Linked DNA regions of Drosophila melanogaster. The gene in region 1 interacts genetically with each later gene. Each region holds a gene or a part of one and is shown on either strand. Other genes may lie near its edges. The genes, in order: CG32576 and TBPH.

Region 1 (5,176 bases):
TTTAGTAGTTGTTAAAATCACAAACAAAAAAAATACCTTAAAAACGGTCAATGAGATTGAAACTATATAAAACAAATTGCTTAAAACTATCTTACATTTAGATTGTTAGAGGTAAGCTCTCTCTTAGGCGCAAAATCATTGCTTTCTTATGTGTATAAACATATGTAATAACCTTAATAGCTAATAATTAAAATTTGTTATTATTTTTGTATACGTAAATACCTTAAGATGATTAGAGTCTCAGAACCATACCAATTCCTCCGAACTGTGCATTAATAATATATCGAATTTTTTTATTGTTTATTGTTTTTGTCTCGAGCCACAATTTATTTAATTTTATGATTGCTGGTTGATATTTTTTATATTCTTTTTAGCTTTATATCTTCGATTACACTTGTGTCATGTTTGATCTGGTTTTCATAACCATCCTGTTGGGAACACACACATTTTTTGAATGTTCATTTTGGAACATGTTTATGCTAGCATTGTATCGTATTAAGGCAGGAATGGATGATATAGTGTATGGTTTAAAACGATAATAATAACATGTGCGCGATTCTCTATGCAATTATCACAAATTCATCATAGATTTCATTAGGCGACCATTATTATTCCGATTGCAACGACTGTGGTATTACTTATTATTACTTATTCAGTATAACCAGTATTATTTATGCATTGCAGATATTTGTTTCCCCAGGGCATCATCTGTTTTTTTTTTTACCATTATACTCATTTGACTCGTCAAAACCATTTTGAAATACCATTTTCTAATATTTTTACACAGATTTTCGATGAAAAAAAAACAAACGTACATGAAATACAGTCATGCGGATAAATAATAATTTGCCAAATTGGGAGATACGTTTTTTTTTGTTGTTATAATTTTATGTTTTCTGCGTTTTTAAGCAGTCGGAACAAGTCGTAGTTGCAGGAATAGCTTCAAGCAGTTTCACACTCTGATGCAGCACAGTGCATCTCTTGCATTTCAATAATATCTTTAAAATACGCTTCATGTTTCAAGGAGTGGCTCGGTGTCTTTTCTCATTGGTTTGGCTGGATTGATTTGTAAATATTTATATATGCGTACACTTCTCTTATAACACTTAAAAAACCTCCGTGAAAGACTACTACCCATGATCTAAATAGCCTCGCTGTAACTCAACAGCAGCGAAATACTAAAAGTGGATAACATACCCGTAGGAATTGCCTCCTCTGTCGTTCCATGATCCGCCGCCGCCGCCACCGTTGCCGCTGCCACCAGAACCACGATGACCGGAACCGGAATCATAACCTTAAAAACATAAGTTTGTGAGTATTGGTGTGTTGCTCGCAACACAAAGTTCGCATGCACGCCTTACCACCGCCTTGTTTGCCGTAGTTCGGAGGTGGCTCGTTGTAGTTACCCGTTTTATTTGGCATTTGCTGGTAATTTGGTGGGGGGACAGCGAAATTATTATATCCCTGTCCCGAACCACCACCATAACCGCCACCTAGAGTGCACATATTTCATCGTTTTCAATTCACGTTGCGACTTATGCGCGTGTTAAAATTATACTTACGTTCCATGTTTAATAAACGTTGCGTGAAGTCTTTTTTTAATCAATAGAATTGCAGGAGTTTCAATAACTCGCTGCGTACAAATTGCTCGAATTGAAGAAAGCGTCAGATCGTCACAAATTCTATTGTAAAATGGCGTGTGAAAATTAATTAGGGATGTGCGTCGAAGGGGGCTGGTATGTGTGGGTCTTGTAGCGCCTATCGAAATATCTATCTATATATCATTGAAATGTGTGGGAATGGAACACAAATATGCCGAATATTATATTTGTGGGAAAATACGTATTAAATGGTAAAAATAGTTTTATTTAATACATTTTATCATTTATTTGCATCCAAATGGACTGAATCCAAGAGGTTTTAAATAATTAATCGGCAGCTTGATCGCTTTACAACACTAAAGCGCTTGCATCCCTGCAAACATTGTTTACAGTCGTTAGCACGTAACTTTGAATGAAAGTCGAAATCAGCTGTTTGTGCTTTGAAATTGAATTGGTGTTTACGTGGATTTAATTTTTTCTGAAATCAAATTAAAGCAGAGCCAAATACAAAATGATTGAAATATCAGATTTGCAGAGTAAGTAGCCATTAATATGCGAAAGCCATCAGCGCAACTAAACCGCCTATTGAAATCTTCCCGCAGAAATTGGCATCGGCTTGGCTGGTTTTGGCATTTTCTTTTTGTTTCTCGGCATGCTGCTGCTGTTCGATAAAGGACTGCTCGCCATTGGCAATGTACGTTACCCACATGCACATGCACCATATGCCCCATATAGCACACCCTTCGAGCTCTATAATAATAGCAATCGCCTCTTTCCCGCAGATTCTATTCATATCGGGCCTGGCCTGCGTCATTGGCGTGGAGCGCACGATGCGCTTTTTCTTCCAACGGCACAAAGTCAAAGGCACAACGGCCTTCTTAGGGGGAATCGTCATCGTCCTGCTGGGATTCCCCATCTTCGGCATGATTATTGAATCCTATGGATTTTTCGCACTCTTCAGGTTCGTAGCACCCTGGCCAAGTCCCAGTCGGATTCGTTTAAGACCATTTGAGCGGGGCTAACCGGTTACGCACTCCACATGGTCTTTTCGCTTTCCCGCTCTTAATACACCATTCGCAAGTCAGGGCTTGGCAGTCAAAGTTGCTGTCAGATGACATCCTTTAGAAATATTTTATATTTTAATTGAAAGACTGCAAGTCATGTAGATGGGACAATTTGACGCTGTGGCATTAACAGCAAATACCAAGTATAATTCTTCAGATTCGCTTACAAAAAAAGCTCGATCAGATTTTATAGCATTTGATCAGAGCTAAAGAAAGCAAAAAGTATGTCCTTCATTATAACTATTCGCTGTTTCTGTCTGTTTTGTTCTGTTCTGTCCTTTTATACATTTTTTCCTATCTATACCTCTCTCCTTTTACCTTTTCAATTGCATGCTTCTTCATAAGTTACGACCAAAGGTGCAACTTAATAATTACCCTAATATATGTAGGTCTTTTTATTCATTAAAATATCTTTTAACGAACGTTAAAAGGTCTGCTTCATATATATCGGATTAATGAATGGAAATCTATTCAAAGTAGGGAAAATATTCAGTGAATATAAGAATTTAACTTAACTTCGAAACGTGCAAGATGGCAATACAAGTGGAAGTAACTTCTTTTAGTGATTTGTCGTTTACTTATTACTTATTAATGTCCTTCTCTTTATATTTTCAGCGGCTTCTTCCCCGTGGCCATTAATTTCCTAGGCCGAGTGCCTGTTTTAGGATCGCTGTTTAATTTACCATTTATACAAAAGGTAAGGTAGCATGGAGCCTCACAAAAAATAAAAAATATAACATAGCAAATAGCCCATACTCATGATCACTTAACGCGCTCATCTCGCCTTGACGCGAAAGCCCATTGAAATAAACTGAAGGGTCCACATTCCCAAACGACCACGCAGACTCGATTTCATAGCCAATTTTGGTATTTATCTAAGCTATGTATTTCAACATTTACAAGTCCAAAGTAGAGGGATTTAGTGGCGCGTTTAGTGGATCTTTTCCCAGTCCTCACGCTCCTCGCGCTCCTTCACGACCTCCTTGAGGTAGGGTTCCAGATACTTGACGTCCTCCTCGTACTTGGTCCACTGCTCCTTGGGCAGAATGGTCTTGGTCATGGACAGATGGAGGGCCCTCATGATGCGGTAGTTACGCTCATCGTACAGCTTCCTGGGCAATCGGCGCACGGCCTCCTTCACATCCTCGTTCTCATACAGACAATCATCGCGATGCAGACCTGCAAAAATCGATGGCATCAAGCTCAGCTGTTAGGAATCACTAGGTTATATAGTAGTCCTACCGTATTGGTTGAATCCGGAGAGATTGTAGGCCCATCTGCCCAGATTTGCTGTGGGGAAAAATTCGCATTACATATTTACGTAATCATAATATTCCGGCGTACTGCACTACGAAATTTGTTGCATGCAACGTGAGTCCGATTGTTGCCCGTTCGTATTACTTACAGAGAACTGCGGGTCCCTTTCTGGCAATATAGTTCGACATGGTTTACGTAAAATCAGAAGTCGGGAAAGAGATATTCCTCCAGCCTTTTTATTTTAGGTATGAGAACGTTGGAGATGGGTCTCTCGATAGCTATCGCACCCCGTTATCGATCAACGAGCACTACGGTTGCGTTTGTACAAATCGATTTCCGAAATGTAATACAGACACACTGCACCTATCGATATATCGCACTCAAGAAAATTCGTTATTCTTTAGTTTTAGAGCTATTAAATATATTATCTTTTAACATTTTACCCTTTTGTATTTGTATTTAGATTGTTCAAAAACTTGGTGGAGACGGCAACCGAACTACAGTATAATTACATCTCCAAAGTTGGTCATTTTGCAATAACTTTTTGTATAAAGTAAATAAAATCAATTCAAATTCTTGTAAACCCATTTAAGCCCATGTAAAAATCCGCCTTCATAAACAAAATACTTGTAGTTTATCAAACCGAATGATTGTGGCTTTCTCCTTTTGTAATTTGTTATGGGAAACACTCAAAAAAGGTTTTTAATTTGGGTTAAGTTATAATTTATGTTAACCAATAACCTCGATTAAATTAATTATAAAAATGATGCCTGAAGATATACAACTTTCACTTAACTTGCAACACGGGTATTGTATATTAAACAGCAAACAAAAAAGGCAAAAATGTTGGTAATTAGCGGAGTGCTTCGACAAGCGGAAATCCCTACTTCTCATTTAAATAATATTTCCCCAATTTTTTGCGATAAGCCCCCGCCAACGGTAAACCCTTCATTAAAATGATTGATAGCGTTTTTATTTTAAAGTACATACCTTCGCTTTATTATGACTACAAAATATCAATTTATACAAATTAAAGAACATATACAAATTCTTTATATATACAGTGCCCTCCCTTAAGAGTGAACACTCGAATATGTGAACTTTTTAGTAAAAGTGAACGATTAATTTATGAAATTTTAGAAACTTTCGCTTAACTTAGTAAAAAAATTAAATTTTTTCAAACGTGGTGTTTTTGAAAAATATATTAAATTGTTTATTTTTTCTGTGATTCGTTATAGTGAACAAATTCGATTC
Region 2 (6,108 bases), on another chromosome or scaffold:
ATTTCAAAACCCTGCATGTTGCTTGCCAAACTTTTTATGCCGTGCGCGGCTTATCTTGACAACTACTTCGCTTCGATAAACCATATTGATCAGCTTCACTTCTTTCCGCCCCACAGCTGCGCCCTGAAATCAGCCCGATAAGAACTTAGTGTTAAGCGCTACCTCAAAGTGTCACCATGATCGGACCCAGTTCGCAGATCAGCAAGATCCTGCTCACCCTGCTGTTCCTGCTGATCATCTTCTACGTTTTCATGGACGTGGAGCTCTACCTGCGCATCCACAACTATGCCATCGAGAGGAACTATCACACGAATGTCTCGCTGCCCGCCTCCGTCGTGGGTCCGTCCACCTCGGAGTCCGGGTCCGGCAGCATCGGTGGTAGCAGCAGCAGCAGCAGCAGCAGTAGCAGCAGCACCAGTACGAAACTACCCACCGCCGGCGACCGGCAGCCGTCCTACGAGGACCACACCTGGATATCCTGTGATATAAATCCGCTTTGCCATGTGACCGTGAAGGCCATTCTGTTGGACCACACCAACCACTACCTGTTCGCCCCGCTGGCCACCATGTTCGACAACGTGATCGGCTTCTCGCGCTCCACCTTCATCACGCCCAACATGATATCGTTTTTCCATGTGGGCGTGGCCTGTCTGGCGGGCAAACTGGTGGCCTCGGACAGCCTGGGCTATCGGCGGCTGGGCGTGCTGCTCTTCCAGATCCGCACCTTCCTGGACGACCTGGACGGGCATGTGGCGCGCGTGCGCAAGCACATACGCGGCGAGCGCTCGGAGATCGGCACCTCCGGCTACTATGTGGACGGCCTGTGCGACGGACTCGGCTGCATTGCGCTGCTGCTGGGCATATTCTTTTACCTGAAGAACAATCCACCGCGGAGGGGCTACTCGATCATACCCATGAGCGACTCCAAGCTGCCGGAGCCCACCATGATGATACCGAAGATGAAGGCCACCACGCGCAAGGTGGCCAAGAACGTGATCAGCTTCACGGGCCAGCTGCTGCTGAGCTCGACGGCGTGGAATCGCTACATTGCCGTCTACCAGAACATGCTGGAGCGCGAGGACGTGAGCGGCAACCAGTCGCATTGCCAGGATTACGTGTTCAAGTCGACCTGGTTCTTCTGCGTCGCCTGGATGTGGCGCATCGTCAACGTGCACGCCCTGCTGCACTGCGTCCTGCTGAGCATCTTCTGCGACAAGCTGTGGGACTTCCTGCGCGCGATCCGGTACAGCGGTTACATTATCCTGTTAGTTGCTATATGTTTAACTGAAATGCACATTCTGGAGGCCCAGAACTACATTTTCAACTCTACGGCGTGCAGTAATATTTCACTGTGATTTTACTAATATTACGAGAAAATACAATAATATTTGTGTAGTGCAAATCAGCGATGCCTTTTTTAATTGTGTATAAATAATAATGTATCATAATTGTTAGCCAATCATTAATATTTCGAAACCAACTAATGCATTTTGTCATTCAAGCGCGGTCTGCAAGAGCAATCGAAACTCCTTCAGCTGTAAATAATAAATGTTATTGATTAATAAAGTCTAGCTGTTTTTATCGTACGCATTTCCATGGCGAGCTAATTTCGTTTGAATTTATTTATAATGTTTTGTGTTTCGAAATTTCAAATGAACACGATGCGCAATGCTGCCAAGTTTTTTTTTGGTATAGCTGATGGGCAGCACTGCAAGGTTTGGTATTTTATTCGACAGTACCAAATGCCAATATAATTGCCATATTGTAATGTAATATATTGCTTAGATATTCATAGTGGCAATCAACGCTCATATAGTTTAATAAAGAGGCTATTAAAATTTATGTGACAATGCACTGTTTTAACTAAAAATAATACACTTTTAGTATATCTACCCGCCGGCTGGTATTTCTCACTAGCCCTGTTCGGCCACACTGCGCATACGTCAGGCGATACATACAAAGGAAAAGAAAATCAAAACGGAAAGCGAGAAGAAATGCTTCACTCGTCGTTTGAAAATTTGTTAAGCTGTCAATTGTAAATATTACCTGATTCCTATTTCGCACCGATTGAAAGTGGTTGTGCATCGAAGCGTGTGTTGTGTCAAGAACCGAGCGTGGAACGTACAGTGAATACCTGATTTTGCCTGGGTGTGAATCGAATTCGTGTGAGAGAGCGTGCGATCTGAGATCTGGGATCAGAAATCTATATCTACTTGCCATACGCAGTCAGAAATTACAGCAACCAACTAATCCCTGTCAATAGTGTAAGAATTGTTGTGTAACCAACCATCTTTTAGGACCGCCAAACTGCCTCCGTCTACACATTATGTCCTCCCCTCGACGATTGCGTTTGTGTGCGTGTGTGTGTGTGCCACACACTTGCACTCACACACAGACGACAGGATTGGATATTTTCAATTTATGTGGCTTTCATTCATTGATTTTCCAATTCCTGCCGCGATTCCACACTCACAAACGTCAGTTTACTCGTATTAAGTGGGTGAAATATCTGTTTTCTTGAGTAGTTCAAAACATATACATATGTATGCCATACATCGTAAACTTGGGATTGGGTATTCTTCTTTTGTTTATTAACTAAATGTACGTAGAATAGGCATTTAGCCGATGGTGGGACATAAGTAGCGTCTGATTCAGAGAATTTTTAACTAATAATAACGTAAAGAAACGCCTAAACATGAACACTAATAATATATGAATATGTTTGTAATACTTACTAAAATTATATCATCGAAATTACAAGAGATAGAAACATTGTTTATTTGTCGTTTTTAGTAGATTGACCTAGTGTAGGATCCTTTTTGTTTTGGCTTGGTCCCACGAGCAATGTGTGTATAGAGTGGTTCGGGGCAACCTTTTTGTGTTGAATATTGTACCTTGGGATGCATCTGAATAGAACGGATGAACTGAGTGAGTGCATTCATGAATGCAGCGATGCAGAATATGTGGGATGCTTCCGTTGACTGAATGACATGGTGGATCATTTCTAGAGCGAAGTGTGAGCCCCTGCGGCGATAGAGTTCTTTAATCCCCTCCTCGTTTCTAGCAGCCTTCTAGGAAATGGATTTCGTTCAAGTGTCGGAGGAGGAGGGCGACGAGCCCATCGAGCTGCCGGCTGAGGAGGATGGCACTCTGCTTCTGTCCACACTGCAAGCTCAGTTCCCTGGATCCTGCGGTCTGAAGTACCGCAACCTGGACACGAAGGCTGTGCGCGGAGTTCGCTCCAACGAGGGCAGACTGTTTCCGCCCAGCGTGGAGTCCGGCTGGGGCGAGTACGCTTACTTTTGCGTCTTTCCCAAGGGTAAATTCGAGTTGTATGACTCCCTGTTGAACCTTAAATAATTCTGTAATCCCCCCCTGCAGAGAACAAGCGCAAGAGCGACGATAACTTGGAGAACTCAACTGCCAAGACCAAACGCATCGAGACCCGTCTGCGCTGCACTGATCTCATCGTGCTCGGCTTGCCGTGGAAGACCACAGAGGAGAGCTTGCGTGAGTACTTCGAGACCTACGGCGAGGTGCTGATGGCCCAGATCAAGAAGGACACCAAGTCGGGCCAGTCCAAGGGCTTCGGTTTCGTGCGCTTCGGCTCTTACGATGCCCAGATGCGCGTGCTCACCAATCGCCATCTGATCGACGGTCGCTGGTGCGAGGTTAAGGTGCCCAACTCGAAGGTAAGTCCTCTTGTTAGCCCTGCAATTTCACGCCTACTAATCCTTCTATTCTCATAGGGCATGGGCCACCAGGTGCCTTGCAAGGTGTTCGTGGGCCGCTGCACCGAGGACATTAACTCGGACGACTTGCGCGAGTATTTCTCCAAGTTTGGCGAAGTCACTGATGTGTTCATTCCCCGGCCCTTCAGGGCCTTTAGCTTTGTAACCTTCCTTGATCCCGACGTGGCACAGTCCCTGTGCGGAGAGGATCACATTATCAAGGGTGAGTCACTGCCGCGTGGAGAAGAATCAGGGAATTAATGAGACACTTTCCACAGGCGTTTCGGTCCATGTGTCGAATGCTGCTCCAAAGGCCGAGCAGAACAGAAACCAACAGGTCCAGAGCTACAACTACAACTCTGCCAACAGCTTTGGCATGCACTCATACCACCCACAGGGTAACCACATGAATCCGGGCCGCAACGGACACCACCGAGGTAATAACCAACACAATGCTCACGGCGGTGAGAACGCAATTGTGCCCAATAATCACAACATTGGCACCGCCGGCTACGGCATGGGTGGCAACAATTACGGCGGCAACTCGGGCGGGGGCTACCACAACAATGGCGGCAATCACTCCAGTGGCGGGAACACGAACCGCCAGGACGGCGGCAGCCAGTACAACAGTCGCCAGTCGAATTTTCACGGAATGAACCAGCCGCATAACGGCAACGTGGGCGGCAGCAACGGCTGGATGAACCGTGGCCACCTGGACATGCCCAACCTGCAGGCCCTGGGCATCAACTCGCAGGGATCGAGCTCCTCCAACCAGGGCCAAAACATGAGCAACCAGTCAATGCTCAATCTCAACTCATTGCCCATCAATCCCGCACTGGTCGCTGCCGCCTTGAACCAGTGGAGCCTGGTCGGCAACCAGCTGCAGAACCAAAACCAGGACCAACAGGCAAGCCTTCACACCTCAATCATTGTTTCAAACAAAAAACTCTCTCACTTGCTCCGCAGGGCGGCAATTTTCTATCTTGGATGGCTCAGAACGGGGGCCACAACAATGCCAACAACTTTGGTGGACGGAAGGGGCCGAATAACCCGAACAACAATCCGGCCGCCAACGGAATAAAGACCGACAACTCGGAGCCACAGGTTAGAGTCAAAACTGAAACCATCCCCTAAGAAACCTGGATCCCAGCCAGAATCTATTCTACTCTATTCCAGAATGGGAACACCGGTTGGTCGAACCAGAGCAGCGGATCTCAAAACGCCGCGGAGAAGTCAAACTTTCTTTAAGGCGGTGCCTGTCACCCAATGATGTGGTTAATGTGGTTAACCAACACCTCTGTAGCTTACTTAAATTTACATATATGTATTCCACATACAAACCAGTTAAGAATTGTATTTAATATGTAATAGATATTTTGATAATTGTAAACAAGATGACACTGGATGGCTAATAACACAATTGATAAAACACACTTCAAAATAAATTCTGCGCCAAAGCTCAGTAAAAATTGTATCATTGTATCACTTAAGTAGAATTTGATTTGTATTTTGTTGTTTATTAAATATATTTTGGCTTACGCTAAGAAAGTTTAGTTATAAAGATTGTGCACTTATAATGCTGGATCTGCGGAGAATTTCCAATATAACAAAGTTTTCTTTAAGATATCTAAACGAATTTGGCGCAGCCTCATTTTAGAGGAGAATTCATTTAACATGTACATTCATTTCAAAAAATAAAGAATGCAAAAGCATATTAGTACAAAGTGAATCATTTCATTTGAATGGAATCTATGGGATTGTGAATTGAATATTTTAATATATTCCTGTAAAGGAAACTCTCCCGTCTTGGAAACTTATCTCTTATTCTTTGAAAATAACAAAGTATGTTTTATAATTCAGTTTGTAATGACACCTGGATCTTTTTTTTTTACAAATTTCCACTACACATTTGTTTGAGTATATGCAAGGAATACCCTTAATGAGCAAGCTTTGCGCCAGCGAAAATACAGCCCTGTGTTCCATTCCGCCATTTTTCTATTTTCACGACGGTGGCAATAACGGAACTTGCAATTGCCGCGCGCATTGCGGCGCACTTCACTTAATTTAGTGTCAATCTGTTTGAAGCTAGCAGAAATGAACCACATCATCCAGGACAAGTACATTCCGCAACAGCTGCTCTACTTCTTGGCGGGACGGCGCTGCTGCCAGCAGTTCCCGTGCACATTCCGCACCAGCGAGCACGAAGCATTCGCCAACAACGCCCGCTCCTTGGGGCTGCGATCGCAGGTGGTCCATGTCAACGGGAATAGCTGCGTGAAGGTGTACAAGCAGGCATGTCGCCACTACCTGGAGGAGCCCAAGACGCTGGTTTTGTCCTCGGGCGCTACGCTGAACATGTTTACGCTGCTGAGCAGGA

What was found.
Region 2: of CG32576 (region 1) and TBPH, changing one suppresses a phenotype caused by changing the other (phenotypic suppression), as found in Drosophila melanogaster (one study listed by BioGRID).

The regions. Positions count from the first base shown.
Region 1 is NC_004354.4:16,285,344-16,290,519, reverse strand, and holds CG32576 (uncharacterized protein), read left to right. Parts: upstream 1-1,986; 5' UTR 1,987-2,112; coding exon 2,113-2,137; intron 2,138-2,203; coding exon 2,204-2,295; intron 2,296-2,383; coding exon 2,384-2,562; intron 2,563-3,280; coding exon 3,281-3,362; coding exon of another isoform or gene 3,363-3,371; exon of another isoform or gene 3,372-3,596; coding exon of another isoform or gene 3,597-3,844; exon of another isoform or gene 3,845-3,907; coding exon of another isoform or gene 3,908-3,955; exon of another isoform or gene 3,956-4,070; coding exon of another isoform or gene 4,071-4,110; exon of another isoform or gene 4,111-4,385; coding exon 4,386-4,430; 3' UTR 4,431-4,567; downstream 4,568-5,176. Other genes in the region: caz (cabeza), read right to left, coding at 1,198-1,294, 1,362-1,493, 1,563-1,569; UQCR-14 (Ubiquinol-cytochrome c reductase 14 kDa subunit), read right to left, coding at 3,597-3,844, 3,908-3,955, 4,071-4,110.
Region 2 is NT_033778.4:23,858,417-23,864,524, reverse strand, and holds TBPH (TAR DNA-binding protein-43 homolog), read left to right. Parts: upstream 1-1,931; 5' UTR 1,932-3,078; coding exon 3,079-3,319; intron 3,320-3,381; coding exon 3,382-3,692; intron 3,693-3,749; coding exon 3,750-3,954; intron 3,955-4,009; coding exon 4,010-4,638; intron 4,639-4,697; coding exon 4,698-4,835; intron 4,836-4,907; coding exon 4,908-4,979; 3' UTR 4,980-5,458; downstream 5,459-6,108. Other genes in the region: Cpes (ceramide phosphoethanolamine synthase), read left to right, coding at 177-1,355; bgcn (benign gonial cell neoplasm), read left to right, coding at 5,826-6,108.